Xenopus tropicalis: one gene and its partner. The protein of the gene in region 2 purifies or fractionates together with the protein of the main gene of each other region. This does not show direct contact. Links are inferred from orthologs where the notes say so. Each region holds a gene or a part of one and is shown on either strand. Other genes may lie near its edges.

The links. Proteins that work in one complex are often made in the same cells at the same time.
Region 1: the proteins of slc30a5 (region 2) and csgalnact2 purify together in Homo sapiens (co-immunoprecipitation; 3 studies listed by BioGRID and IntAct, counting the BioPlex papers as one, with this or other methods). This does not show direct contact. The link is inferred for Xenopus tropicalis from reciprocal best matches to the Homo sapiens genes SLC30A5 and CSGALNACT2.

Annotation. Positions count from the first base shown.
Region 1 is NC_030683.2:50,287,865-50,295,724, forward strand, and holds the start of csgalnact2 (chondroitin sulfate N-acetylgalactosaminyltransferase 2), read left to right. Parts: upstream 1-2,745; 5' UTR 2,746-2,877; intron 2,878-7,860. UniProt on the Homo sapiens protein: Transfers 1,4-N-acetylgalactosamine (GalNAc) from UDP-GalNAc to the non-reducing end of glucuronic acid (GlcUA). Required for addition of the first GalNAc to the core tetrasaccharide linker and for elongation of chondroitin chains.
Region 2 is NC_030677.2:186,433,859-186,441,133, reverse strand, and holds the end of slc30a5 (zinc transporter 5), read left to right. Parts: coding exon 1-68; intron 69-839; coding exon 840-1,089; intron 1,090-1,346; coding exon 1,347-1,573; intron 1,574-2,348; coding exon 2,349-2,477; intron 2,478-3,066; coding exon 3,067-3,143; intron 3,144-4,265; coding exon 4,266-4,281; coding exon of another isoform or gene 4,282-4,436; 3' UTR 4,437-4,855; downstream 4,856-7,275. UniProt on the Homo sapiens protein: Together with SLC30A6 forms a functional proton-coupled zinc ion antiporter mediating zinc entry into the lumen of organelles along the secretory pathway.

The DNA of each region.
Region 1 (7,860 bases), on a different chromosome or scaffold from region 2:
GCCCGACTTCTCCTAGTAGCTTAAATTTAAGTCTCGGCCAATATATAAAGTCCTGCAGGTCCCTAAGATAATGTTGCTATTTTTCCAAAGGGCATCGACGGATGAAAGCAACACTTCCCGACAATTTGCAGGCTGCCCTCCATGCCCAGTGCACATTGACTGAACAGTGAACATTTGACTTAATTTATTTATTTTGGCTGTTTAGCTGCAAATCTGAATTTTTTCAGTTGTCCGCCACAGTCAGTTAAATGAGAAACACGTGGCTGGCACAATAGCTGACTTGGTTCAGTGGCTACACAAGTACTGGTACAGCAGGTGATTCACAGAGATCGCAGTGACTGATTTGTGAGGCAGTTGATTTGGGCACTTCTTCGCTAGTGTAATCCAAATGTGAGCTAAACAAAAGACATAGTATGGTTTTTCAATTTTTCTGCTGCCTTATCAATCATGCTTTACATAACTACTGTAAGCAGGTTACTTAACTAATCTGTAGAAAAAATTGCAGTTAAATATCATACTAATATATATATATATATATAAAATAGCCAACAGCAGCAAACCCACTAGAGGTGTGTGGCCATAGTCTAATGCGACACAGGGCTGAATCTTGGCCAGAGTTTGACAGAGAAGTATAAAACCAAGGACTAGGTTTGTGAGGTTATTTCCATGTACAAAAGCCTTATTCAAGGTCAGACTCCATTCTACATCTTCCAGTACTAGTAGCCCATCATTTGGGGAAAATTGTATGAAATTGACTATGCAGGTGAAACAGAGTAGGATGTTGTGGTTTCTTTGAAGAGAGGCTATTATGTGGAACGCTGCTTTTAAAGGGACACAAAAGCCTTTTTATAAGTACAGAGAGATGTCTAGTCCCTAATAGTTCTTTGGAATTCAAGCTACTTCAGTAGCAGCTGTTTTTGCCTTTCAGCTTTGTTTAACCAAATGCATATCCTGAACACCATCCACCTTGCCTTTGCTCCTCATTTGATGTCATATGAATGAGCAATATATAAAATATGTCTCATGGAAGAACAGCTCACTCAATACAATAAGATAATGACTATTATGTAGTTTGATGCCCATGGGAAGACAACCCTGCCCAAGGAGATAATTTGTGGAAATAATAATATGACAAATTGATTAGCTAATGAAAATAGTAGCATAGATTAGAAGGTGTATAAGCAAACTTCATAAATATTAGGGATGCACCGAATCCAGGATTCGGTTTGGGATTCGGCCGAATTCATGTTCCTGGCCAACCGAATCCTAAAAATCACGTGACTTTTTATCATGTAAACACGGAAGTTGAAAATGTAATCTTTTCATAACCCAACTAGCATATGCTAATTAGGATTCGGCTTCAGTTTGGTATTCGGTTGAATCTTTTATGGGTTTCGGCCGAATCTAAAAAAGTGAATTTGGTGCATTCCTAATAAATATTGTATTCAGCCCCAGGGGAATCCATGCCAGAAGAGATGTCACACGCAAATGCCCCATTGAAGCCAAAAATCGCTACCCGTGAATGAGCAAATGCTTCTAATGACGTCACCACTTTTTGATGCAAAGTTCGTAGGATTGCAGAAAAATCGGGAGAATGCTATTGGGCAACTGGGGTGCAGCCAAAAGCTTTAACTATGAAAAAATTAGGGGGGGGGGGTTAACAGCTCTTGGGGGCACATTTACTTACTCACGAACGGGCCGAATGTGTCCGATTGCGTTTTTTTCGTAATGATCGGTATTTGGCAATTTTTCAGAAAAATTGTCGCGACTTTTTCGTTGCCATTCCGAATGTTGCGCAAAATCTGGCGATTTTTTCGTAGCGTTACTACTTGCGCGAAAAATCGTGACTTTTTCGTAGCCTTCGCGCCGAGTACGAAAGATTCGGATTCATTCAAGCTTCAGTATGGTGACTTTTCTTGGGCCAGGTTGGAGCTGCAGGGTGCCATTGAGTCCTATGGGAGGCTTCCAAAATCATGCTAAGTCTGAAAGTTTCGGCCGCCGCTTACGAGCGCTCAATACAAAAAAGTCGTGACAAGATACGAGCTCATCGTAATGGCTACGAAAAACTTGCGTTTTTTCGCGCAAATCGTATTGGTAACGAAAAAGTCGCGACAATTTCCGAAAAGTCGTAAAGGCGCCGAAAAAAATCGCGAAAAATGCGAAAAAGACGCAAAATGTTCGTTTTCCAATCGGAATTTTTCCAATTCGGATTCATGGGTTAGTAAATGTGCCCCTTGGTGTTATAAATAGCTTGGGAACCAATTTAGTTACTTCCTTTTAATTTATAAACAGGACTCAATTTTTCCTTTTCCTTCTGCTTTCTTTTGTTTCTACTTCCCATAATATAAATCTGTGTGACTGTTACATCAAATTCAATAAACACAGAATATACAAACAACAAATTCCCCTGCCCTTAATTTGCACAAACTCTTTTTTTTTTTTTTCTCAACTCAAGAGAACAGACTTTGATCGTGGAAGATGGCAGGGGACACTCTTGATAAAAGAAAAACAAAAAAACTTTTTTTATTTCAAGGGGAAATTGGGAGCTAAGGTGGCAGAGCGCATGGCGGTAACCAACAGGAAAGAAAAGTCCTTTCTTTTTTGTTCTCTAACACAAGTAGGAGGCGCAAGCAGAGCGAACAAGCAGAGCCACTCCAACTCACTAACAGTGCGCTACTGTGGAACGCTGAGTCCCGCCCACTCGCCACGCCCCCAAGGCGGCTCTGTGATGCGTCACTCACTTTACGTGCAGTTGTCACGCCAGTCTCGCGTGATGAGATTTGTGGCTGTGGGATTGTTGAGGAGAGAACAAGTGGGCACCCTAGCAACTGCTTTCCTTTCCGAAGCTCATTGACAGCAGGGGAACCGATAATCCAAGTAAGTAAGGCATAGCTATGTCCTTTTTAAGACCCAAAACCTACAGGGACCGGAACGACTGCCCCCCCATGGCGGCCATATATGTATCTGACTTTAATAAATGGCTGTAACCATCAGTTTTCCTTTAAAAAAAAGCGAGAGATGCTTTCCTAGAACTTATATTTCAGCTAAGACAAATCATCGCCTGTTAAGGCTGGCAGTGGCTCATGGGAAATATAGTTTAAGGATAGTTAAGTGTAGTAGACACTGGTTTTCTCTATTTTTTTTTTTTTTTAAATTGGTAACATATAGCCCAACTCAGCATGGAGAGATGTAGCAGTAACACACTGCATCATTTATATAATTGCTGTGATAATAAATAACTGAAAAACACAAGGTGCTTTGCAGATTTTTATTTCTGTTAAGTGATATTTGTTTTTAACTGGCACTTATGTCTATTAATGTGAATGGATCATAGGAAATCAATTGCTGCTGCATAATCTATAGATCCCTTTTTTAACTTAAAGGAAAAGTAACACCAAAAAATGAAAGTGTATAAAAGTAATTACAATATTATGTACTGTTGCCCTGCACTGGTACAACTGGTGTGTTTGCCTCAGAAAGACTACTATAGTTTATATAAACAAAGCTGCTGTGTAGCCATGGGGGCAGCCATTCAAAGGAGAAAAGGCACATAGCAGATAACAGATAAAGCCCCACTATATTCTACAGAGCTTATCTGTTATCTGCTATGTAACCTGTGCCTTTTCTCCTTCTTTCCAGGTTGAATGGCTGCCCCCATGGCTACACAGCAGCTTATTTATGTAAGCTATAGTACTGTTACTTTAGCAAATACACAACTTTACCTGTGCAGGGTAACAGTACATTATATTTTAAATACTTTAATACACTTTCATTTTTGGCGTTACTGTTCCTTTAAAGTAGTAACACTGACTGGTTAAAGTGTACACTGGCAGGTCTCAGGCATTTGTTTATGTCTCAGTGGCATATGGAGCTGGAGCCACAGCACACAGGTGGGATGCAGATGTTAGGGAGCATCTTTATTGGAGAACACTGACGTTATTTTCCATTGTGTGCATTGCTAACTGGCCTTGATTTAACTAAACACACTAGTTTATTTATGAAAATGTGCCCAGAAGCACTTTTTTTTTTATTTACAAGAACAGTTTGCACAATCTTAATTTTTAGAATTCTGTTTATTTTGGAATCTCATTACCATAGATTAGCAACATAGCACACATACAGAGTAATGCCATATAAGTGGTATGCGTTTCTTACACCCAGTCATAGGATTTGCTAATAATTTTACCTTTTTTTTTCTCTCTAAACATGCTTGCTTTTGATTAAATAAATCCATACTTTTTACAATATCCATAAAAGATTGCGCCAGTATTGAAATACTAATGTTGCTGATCAAAATTTCACTACATACAGTTTATAGCCTGTAGCAGTAATTTACTCTAAATAAAAATTTGTATGTACATCAGGTTATGAATGATTTTGCTGCCAAAAGATATCATCAAACAAAATTTTATTTTGTGTGCCTGACAAACTCTGGATACAGTAGAAATGTGTTTTGGAAAAAATTACAAAACAGTTATTTGTGTAATAAAATAGGCATCCACTTGGCTACATTTTTATCCTCAAAATACACAGAAACAGTGAATATCCTGTAAATTATATTTTTTTTAGATGATGCTTAGTGATGTCATCAGTTTTAATCAGTGTTCAGTGATGTAATTTGTCACATGACTCAAACTGAAAATTGTGTATTATCTCAAATGTAGCACCTGTTGTACCTTGGAGTTCTGTAATCTGTATAAAAGCACTTGGCAGATTATTTGGTACAGTGACAGTGTGCGGGGTGTTATGCACTAGTGATGTCCGGGGGCCGCCTGATATCCGCAGGTTTGGGCCGACTTCGGCACATCACTTGCGTGTCGAGGGCAGGTTTGGGTAGAGCTCTTCTGCTTTCTCTCTCCACCGGCGACCTAATACTGCCGGCTTCCTCTTATGGCTTCTGTATTTATAGGCACGCCCCGACATGCCCCGCCCCTTTTGTGCCATCATAGTGGGCGCTGGGTCTATAAATAGAGGGGAGAAGAGCCGTATCGGGTAGGGTTCGGGTTGTGAGCAGTTTTTCTTGACCCGCGCGTTACTAATATGCACTTCAGCTCTTTATAAATTATTACACGTGATTGTATATAGGCCTCATCCACTTCTATAAAATGATTAGTTTTGGCTGAACAGTGTGTTTATTCTTCAGCAAAAGGCATTGAATAGAAATGAAAACAGATCAATAATGTGGATAAAGATTTATGTGCTTATCTGAATGCTGCTAAAGACAGGAGCAGAGGAATAGGTGGTCCCTACCTGGCTTAAACCCACAAGATTATTCTATATTAATCAATGTTTGGTGGTGTAATGCTCAATTTTAAGTAAATTATTTAAACTATGAGGTTAGACTGTCAAGGTTGGGGTTGTTTTATCTGGGAAAAAAAGGCGCTTGTGAGGGGTCATGATTAGGTGATGTTCTTTTTTCCATAAAAAGAATCAGTGCAACAGAGGCCACCCCTTTTTATTGGAGGAACGGAACTTTTGTTTGTAGCAGCTTAGGTGGTTTTTTCATGGTGAGGGCAATGAGGTTTTGGAATGCCCTTCCTAGAGATGTTGTGATGGCAGATTCTGTTAATGCCTTTAAGAGGGGCCTGGATGAGTTCTTGAACAAGCATAATATTCAAGGCTATTGTGATACTAATATCTACAGTTAGTATTCATGTTGGTATATATGGTTTATGTATGTGAGTGTATAGATAGGTCACATATAGGTCTATGTGTGTGCCGGGTTCACTTGGAGGGCTTGAACTTGATAGACTTTGGTCTTTTTTCAGCCCAACTTAACTATGTATATGACTCACTGAAATTTGTGTATTATAATAACTATTGTACCCCTCCCACAGAAAATAAAGTTCCTGGAACCACCAGCAATTGCTCCAGTCATACCATGTTATGCAGAATCTTCTAGATTCTAGCAACTATCACAGGCTAGAAAAAGTTTTTACATTATCTCACCGTGTAGTGTATAACCAGCTTGATTTCAGTGACTCCAGAGCTTTTAATTACTAATAATGTTTAGAGCTTGATGCATGTGACGAACCAAATACAATACATACTCAGGTATGAGTTCCATTATCTGGAAACTTGTTATCCAATAAGCTTAGTCCCATACGTCTGTCCCATAGACTCCTTTTTAATAAAAAAATTAAAATTTTTTAAAATGATTTTGTCTTTGTAATAATAAAACAGTATCTTATCCTTGATCTTAACTAAGCTATAATAAATCCTTATTGGAGGCAAAACAATTTTATTGTGTTTATTTAATGTTTAAATTATTTTTTTAGTAGACTAACGGGATGGAAATCCAAATTACAAAAAGACCCCTTACCTGGAACACCCAAGGTTCTGAGCATTCTGGATATCAGATCCCTTATAGAAACAGACAAATGTCCACAAATGGTAACTTACTAGCTTAGGGGGTGAATATCATCAGTAGTAAATATGAGCAGGAACTCCAATGAGCAGTCCTCCAAACAGGCCCAAATTTTGTTTTGCACACATAAGAGCAGTTTTGTGTGTTTCGTGTTCTCTCAACAGTTAGTCATAGACTAAGGGGCAGATTTATCAAATTGTGTTCATTAGAGTGCCTGCTCATATTTACTAACGATGATATCAGGTCCCATACATGTATAACAAAATAAGCTGGGGAGGAATGTATTAAACACATGATTTTGTGAGCCATTAAATGTCTGTTTATATTGGGTGCATTTTTTTAATCCTAATTCCTTTTTTTTCAGTGCACAGCGGTGACAAAATAGGTTTTATGATTGCAGTACATGTAATTGGAAGATGTATGTTAGAGCCCTGCCTAATATTTTGGGCCGTTATAAAGACTTATGAATAATATTGAGGAGCAAATATATTTAGGCTGATCAGTGGAGGTTATGCTGGTGGCACAGAGTTGTCTGCCGGAATCTTTTTATTCTGTTAGCAGAGAGTTAATAACAAAGCAAAGTGAGAAATTTTACTTGTGGGCTTGAACTTCACTTCTGGAGGGAAAAGTAGGTGATTCTTGTGTGTTTTGTGAGATGAATGAGATGCAGTGGGTACCCATGGGACTCATGGTATTTAGGTTTAAACCCTGGCAAAATTCCTTCAGAATTTCTCTATTTGAGTTAATTGCCCCAATTTCTATGCTTGCAGCTTTGAGTTAATCGCCACAATAATATTAATTTGGCAAAGTAAGCCTAAAATAAGGGGCTCTTATTCTTGCTTTTATACTTTATCTGGTGTGGCAAGGAACTGATTCAGTAATGCCTAGCTGCTCAGAAATATAATTTTACATAACCCCCTCCACTGCCCTTCACCCTCTGATGTGGTTAAATGTGAATAAAAGGACCCTGCTTGCTTTTTTTTTCTCCCACTGCTGTGTACATAATTTAGCAGAGGGAAGTGTTTAGTAGCCTTAAGTTTAGAAGTGTCAGCTTGGTGCAAGAAAGAACAGTTGGCAGAAATTTGGAAAGAAAATAGTTTAGTTCACATGTGAGTTTCCTTTCTTGAGAATTCTTTTGGTAACTGTTCTGTTGACTGATCAGATACAGTGAAACCTCAGTTTTACATATTCTGGTTTTAAATTTTCCCCCGAATTTTACACCATTTTTTTCTGGTTCCCTAAAATCGTAGCTGCTAGTAAACAGACCTCATAGCCCCCTAGTTTTAATTGACATTTTGTGGTTTGTTATTTTTGCGGCTAAATAAATATTTCTAGGCTTTTTTTTAAATTCTATGTGTTTTATTCAGCCATTGACACCATTATAATATTTTATTGCATTTATTGTCGGGCTTTTTCATTTTTCATCATGGTGAGTGTATGACAAGCTGCTAAACATGGTGCAACAAGACTACAGGTATGTGATCTATTATGTG
Region 2 (7,275 bases):
TTTTTGTTTTCATTGAGGCTGTGGCCAGGATATACGACCCTCCGGACATCAATACAGACATGCTTACTGTAAGTACAACAGGTGTTTGTAGGTACCAAGTGCAGTTCATATTGTAGGGCACTAACAGAGCTTGCACTATTGAGCACACTGTGTCCCAGCTTGCCCATAATGCATATGTTTGTGGTATAGTATCATGGGATGTGCCGTCCTATCTACGTCTTGTGCATAATGCGCTAGCTGCAGGGAACTTGCTCATTATGTGCATGTGTGTGCTCCAACATCACACTGGAAGCTGCCTCCCGCTGCAGGGGCCACTGTACTTGATAGGGTGCTTTTGTTACAAAAAAAAATATATTTCTCCCTTCTGGAGTGCAGGCAATAAGTGATAAGTGCTGTTTAAGTTACAAGGGGAACCTAAATCCTGTTTTAGCATCCTACAAAAGACATCCTTTTCTCCACTTTCATACAAATCGCAGTTTGCCACTAGCCTGATGGTGTAGGGGAGGGGGTTCTGTACTGGTGATCTGTTTATCAAAAAAGTATGTTTAGCTCAAGCACTATTCAGTGAACTCATGTTGAACTTGGGGATATAGTTTGCTATGAACCCATTTAGTGCCTGACCCTGATCGAATGTATTCAGTTGACATTGTTTCCTGCATTTAGAGCCAAATTATCGTGTGTGGAACTAGCCAAAGTAAAATATTATACAACTGAAAGGGGCTGGACTGCATTTTTTGTACAAAATGTCTTTGCATTCTTTGTAGGTATAGGTGTGTGTATATTTTTTGTCGTGTAAGTATAATCTTTGTAACCATGTGCTGTCTTTTTCTTTTTGATAGCCTGTCTCAGTTGGAGGACTGATCGTAAACCTTGTTGGTATCTGTGCTTTCAGCCATGCTCATTCCCATGGGGCTGCTCGAGGAGGGTGTCCTTCTCATGATCATGGCCATTCTCACCACGGGCATGGACACAGTCATGGGCACAACCATGGTCACTCACACAGTGACCACGGCCATAACCATGGACATACCCACAACCATGGACACTCTCATGGGTCTGCTGGAGTAGGGATGAATGCAAATATGAGAGGTAAATGCATGTTCTGACCTCCATGTTAGTCCGTTCTATCTAGTCACTCCCTTGTCATCTGATATCTACAAATCCTAGCAGATGTGGCATAACCTATAAAAAGGCTGTAGAAACAAAGGCTTTGTCTTTTTTTCACATATAAATCCCATTATCTACTGAAGATTGTATATTCTGAGCTGTAGAAAAAACATAGAGCTAAAAATGGAAAAATTAACATTAAAATGTGTAGATCTCAATGATCACTTTCCATTTCGTAGGTGTGTTCTTACATGTACTGGCAGATACACTTGGCAGTGTTGGAGTCATTGTATCAACCATCCTGATTCGACAGTTTGGCTGGCTCATTGCTGACCCCTTATGCTCGCTGTTTATTGCTGTCTTAATATTTGGCAGTGTCCTGCCTTTGCTTAAGGATGCCTGCCAGGTGATTCTTCTGAGGATACCACAAGAAACTGAAAAAGGAATAAACATTGCACTTGAAAAGGTTAGAGCTCCGCATACCTTGTTTATTATAATAACCGTATCATAAGAAATGGCTCCCCAAAGGCTAATTTACGCTGGCCCCCACCATCGCTATTGTCTGTCCTGACAAAAGCGTAACAGACATTAGTTAGCACAAAAGCTACTCCTGTTTAAGGCTAGGTAGCCTTCAAGTCTTGAGATGGAAGCACTGAATTTATTTTATGGAGAACAATATGGGACTGTAAAGACTAATGTGGTTTAGACTTTTCTACCAGAGCGCTAGAGATTAGCACAGTATAGTCTGTGCACTTCCTGTTTATAAATGGGCCAGTGCGTTTATTTTCTTGAACTTGATGGACTCTGGACTCTTGGATCTTTTTTTTTTTAGCCCTATGTAACTATAATGCAACTGTGATGCATCATTCAAAAGATCCCTCTGTAAAAAGAAACCGTTATAGATACACCTAATAAGGTGTAAACCCAAGCACTGAAATACTAGTCATGTGCCAGTTATATTAATGCAACAAAAAAGCAAATGGCACTCGGCTATTTTTGCTCCGAAACGTTGCACCTCCGCAATAAATTTTTAAAGGGTTTTTCCCTTGTAGCCCTGAGTGCCATTTGCTTTTTTGTTGCCTTGTAGTTTTGGGAGGGTGCTGATCCCTCTTGCACTGTGCACCTGGCGTTCAAGTTTGGAGAGCTAGGGTGTGCGGAAACAGTCTCTATTGTGCTTATCCAGTTATATTAATGATCATATATAAATATAATTTTATTTAAACACTTTTTTTTTCTTCCAGATTTCTAACCTTGACGGTCTAATCTCCTACCGGGATCCACATTTCTGGCGCCATTCTGCCTCTCTAGTTGCAGGGACTATACATGTTCAGGTGATGTCAGATGTTGTAGAACAGAGGATCATTCAGCAGGTAAGTGCACTTTGACTAATGTGAGCCTGAAGCATTGGTTGTAACCACAATAAACACCATATTCTCCCCAGCCCCTTTTAGCCAGGTACATTTTGGTTCTGCTCCTGCCCCAAAGTTTGCCTTCTCCTGCCTTAATAGCACACAGAAGTTGGTTGCGATCTTTTGCAAATTAAAGGGGTGGTTCACCTTTAACTTTTAGTATGTTATATAATGGCTAATTCTAAGCAATTTTTCAATTGGTCTTCTTCCAACTCTTTGCAGTTTTTAAAGGTAGTCACTGACCCCAGCAGCCAAAAAACTTGCTCTGTGAGGCTACTTTTTAATTATTGATCTTGCTTTTTGTAACTTTCTTTACTATTCAGGCCCTCCCATATTCATATACCAGTCTCTCTTCCAAACTACTCCCTGGTTGCTAAGGTAACTTGGACCCTAGCAACCAAATAGCTGCTGAAACTCCAATCAGGAGAGCTGCTGAACTAAAAATAACTATAAAACTACAAATATTAAAAAATGAAGACCAATCACAAATTGTCTAAGAATATTACTCTCTACATCATACTAAAATTCAATTCAAAATTTTAATTCAAAGGTGAACAACTCCATTAACTGTGCTGTATTTGCAGAAATGCTCAGGCTTCCAGAAAAGTTTTTAATAAGGCAGATGAGGTGGGTGCAAACTTTTTGCATTTTAATTTGTATATTTTTCCCCATCAAGAAACTTTTTCATCCCACCCAGTGGCAAAAATGCTCTGGGTAAAATTCCAAGACACTTCTTCACCTTTGCAAATTGGAGCTCAGCAGTCCTTTACTGCATTATAGAGCCAACTAGTTCCTGGCTGCACTGCATCCATCCACACTAGGATTAATATAGAGCTTGGTGGGGCACTTTTAGTTTTGCTTTGATTTGGGGCCTTTTGAGACTTCACTAATTTAACTTAAATATACTTTGCTTACTTATTGGACTCAAGTGTAAAACATGTAAATAGAATTGTAGACTTTACACATGATTAGCTGTAAAGAACAAGGCTCCCTTGAACATTATAGAGATGCACACTGTTCAGCTATAGGCTCAGCAGAAGTATTGACAATAGGCACTATAGTGAAACAATCTTTTCATACCTACACATTTGTGCATTTATTTTTCCTAGCACTGTACCCACAATTAGAAGCCCTTTCTCTCTCTTGACTTTATGTATATGACAATTCTGGTACTTGGGCAGTAAAGAGTAATTTTTACCTATAGTAGGGATTGGTTTAGCTTATTTTCTGTACCAGATCTAACCTATTTATCAATGCAGGCTCACAGGGGCTTGAGAGGACTCCTATCCAAAATCTTTTTATTCTCCTATCTTTTTCTGTTGTAGAAAAGAATTCCAGGGACAGAAAGCATTGTAGGTGTTTTTTGTGTTAGAGTGAAGACTCGAGGAGCTACTAGTAGCAGCTGCTTGTCATGGCTACTAAAATAGACAATGCGGACCGTTTACTGATAACTGTCTCTACATGTGTTTTAGGAGAGGTCATTTTCAGTATTGTCTATGGCAGGGGATTTCCTGGCATTTAGTAGCCATGACAAGTAGCTGCAACTATGTAGCTTTGTGTGTCTTCACCCTTATAATGTATATATATTTAGGAAGGTTTACAGATACCAACTGCCCATATGAAGCCAGCTGCTTTAGCTCTTTGCAGTTTGATGATTGTACCCCAGGTAGAGACACTTAGTTGGTGTATAAGATTGCATTTTGTAATATAAATGTCAGTGTGCTCACCTCTGTCTGATTTTGATGACAGGTTACATCCCTTCTAAAGGACGCGGGAGTCAACAACCTCACTGTGCAAGTGGAGAAAGAAGCCTACTTCCAGCACATGTCTGGCCTTAGTACCGGATTTCAAGATGTCCTTATCATGACCAAACAGATGGACACTATCAAATATTACAAGGACGGGACTTATATAATGTGACAGAAAACCAGAACTTCCAAACAGTATTTATCCGTCTTTTGTCCAGGGAAAAATAAACACAAACTTGTACATAAATGTACAGATATAAGACTTTCTATAAATTTGGATTTTATAATTCATGGTTATTCTGTCCTTTTAGAGACTGAATCAGGATGTTTTATATATATATGTATTATGGTAAGAATGGTTCTGTTCTTTATTTTGAAATAATGGGATTGAGATGGGGCTTCTATACTGTGTTTTGTCTTTGTATAATAAATCTTGTGGTGGCCACTCCTATTAGAGTTGGTTGATTTCACCATTCCTACAGAGTTCTGTTTACGTAGTGTGTAATAAAGATCATGGGCTATCTTTAAATTAACACAAGAAACTTCATTGATAAAGTATTTTAAATAAACCATGAAGTTTTGGGTGCTTGATTTATGGCTCAATGTATCTTTGTATGATTCTCCTATCTCTGTGCCTTAGGGCTGATGGCCAGGGTCCTTTCAATTAAAACACTTGCTGTGTATTTATGTTGCACACATTTCACATTTGCCTGTGATTTTAAAAACATATCATTTGATTAGGGCCGGTATTACAAATTTACCGGCAACGTAATTACCTGGCCTTCCCCACGAATTTGCCCCATTCACCCCAGGTATACCTTTTCAATCTATTGTGTCATCATCCCACCCCCTTTCATCATCCCTCACCACTCTTAATCACGTCCTGCCCCTTTTCATCACTACCCACCACACTGGACAGTAAGGTTTTTTGCAAATGCAGGAATATTATTATTATTTCTTATGTGACATCCCTGTTCTTGTTTTGGTAGCAGACACGATCACTCATGAGGATCCTACGTGGTTTCTATTAATAGTTGAGGAACTATTTTTTTTATTACTTATCCTCCTAATTTTCCGTGCCCCTCTTTAATTTATATTCCAATCTCATTTAAACCACTGCCTGATTGCTAAGGTAAATGAGATTCTGGCAACCAGATAGCTGCTGAACAAAAAGCTAAATAACTGAAAAACCATAAAAAATGACAACCAATTGCACATTGTCTCAAAATATCATTGAATATAATACATCATACTAAAATTTAATTTACAGGAGAACAACCACTATAAGTCACTACGTATTGTTCCTTAGTACAGTAAAATATTTTGAATAGAAATTCTGAATGACTCTTCCGCCGTGGGGTCTAATTTCAGTGATCCCTGTCCCAGCAAAATGTAGGACTGTGTAGAGCAGAAACTTCTTAAAGTTTCTTACTTACACTCAGCTATGACAAAATGTGTTTAACAAACCGCTCCCAACAAAGGCATTTATTATAACTTTGTTTATTTTATATTGTTTTAATTCAAATAAACTTTCACACTTCATCATTGAAACTCCAGACTATCAGCAGATGGCGCTATCCCCAAACCAGAATAAATTTATGCTTATGTTAACTAAATGTCTCTGGCTTGTGCAAAAAGCACATAAAAGGTCGGTAATGTTTGCTTTAAGTTCCAGCAATGACCAAGGAACAGGGTTTCCCCCCGAAGAGAGGCCATGTCACTAGTGCACCCTTACAATCTGCAGGGACTATACTAAGGGCTAAACTCGACAGAAGATTTTGATCAGATTTTGTGGGTCACATTTTATCTGATTTTGTCATGCAACACCACAAGATTTTGTAGGATCCTACAAAACCTGACCTCCATAGGCCGTAATGTAAAGTAGGATAGAGGGGTTTGCTCCTGCATCTACATCCGACATACTATGAATTTCAATGAGAAAAAAATCTGTCAGAATCCATCAGGTTTTATCTTGTCAGATGAAGATGCAGCATGCTGCTTTCCCTTCTGACAAGCATGTTGTGTGGGATAGCAATCCTTTCATGTAGTTTAAACATGAGATTTTCTTATCAGTTCCATTGTATTGTAACCCATGAAACTACACCCAACAATTTGTCAGATGTGTTTTGTCCATCTGACAGTTTATGAAGTTCAGGCCTAAATATTATTCCTGTGCTCACAGCAGTGTTGGACTGGCCCAGCAGGAAACCAGGAAAACTCCCGGGGGACCCAGGTGTCAGTGGGCCCTCTTGCTGCTAACTATTTGCAGGAGTTGGACTGGTCCATTGAGATACCAGGAAAACTCCTGGTGGCCTGCTTCATGGTCATTCCCTATTGCTGTATAAGAACAAAGAGACTAGGATAATAAAGAGATTAAATGAGCAAAGGAGGAATAATAGTTTAGAGAATGGGCTCATGGTCCAAGGTTTTCTGGTGAGCCCCAGGCATCTCAGTCCGATACTGGCTCAGAGTAATCTTCCCCCACTTCAGAATCCTAACGCTGTCCTATAAAGCCACTGAACACCATCACTTATATGGCACTGCGGCTAATAGTCTGATGCTCTGCCTTCCATCCTACATCTTGCCTTCTTGACAGTATGGTACCTTCTGGCCATAAAGGTGCCCCTTCACCAATAGATACTGGCTTCAGGCTTGGGACACTACAGCAGGACATTGGCCCATGTGTCGGCCAAAATATTACCTCTCCAACTGATATGTTAGGGCCCCCGCATGTTCTGCTGAGTTGGTGCAGGTGTCCCATTGCTCATTGGCTTCCCTGCACTTAGAGTTCCCTGGGGATGGCTCTTACAGCATTTAGCTACACAAGGTGCAAGCCCACAAGGTTTTAGTGCCCCTACATTGCAGTTTTTACCACTGAGTTCCAACACATAGCACATTGCGGCATTTAGTCGCTCAGAGGTTAAAAGTAGTCTCTAACTAGCAGCAAATTGTCCCCTGCAAGCCTACAAATAGTGCCACAGCCTGCGACATGGCACCTGCAACATTGTAAC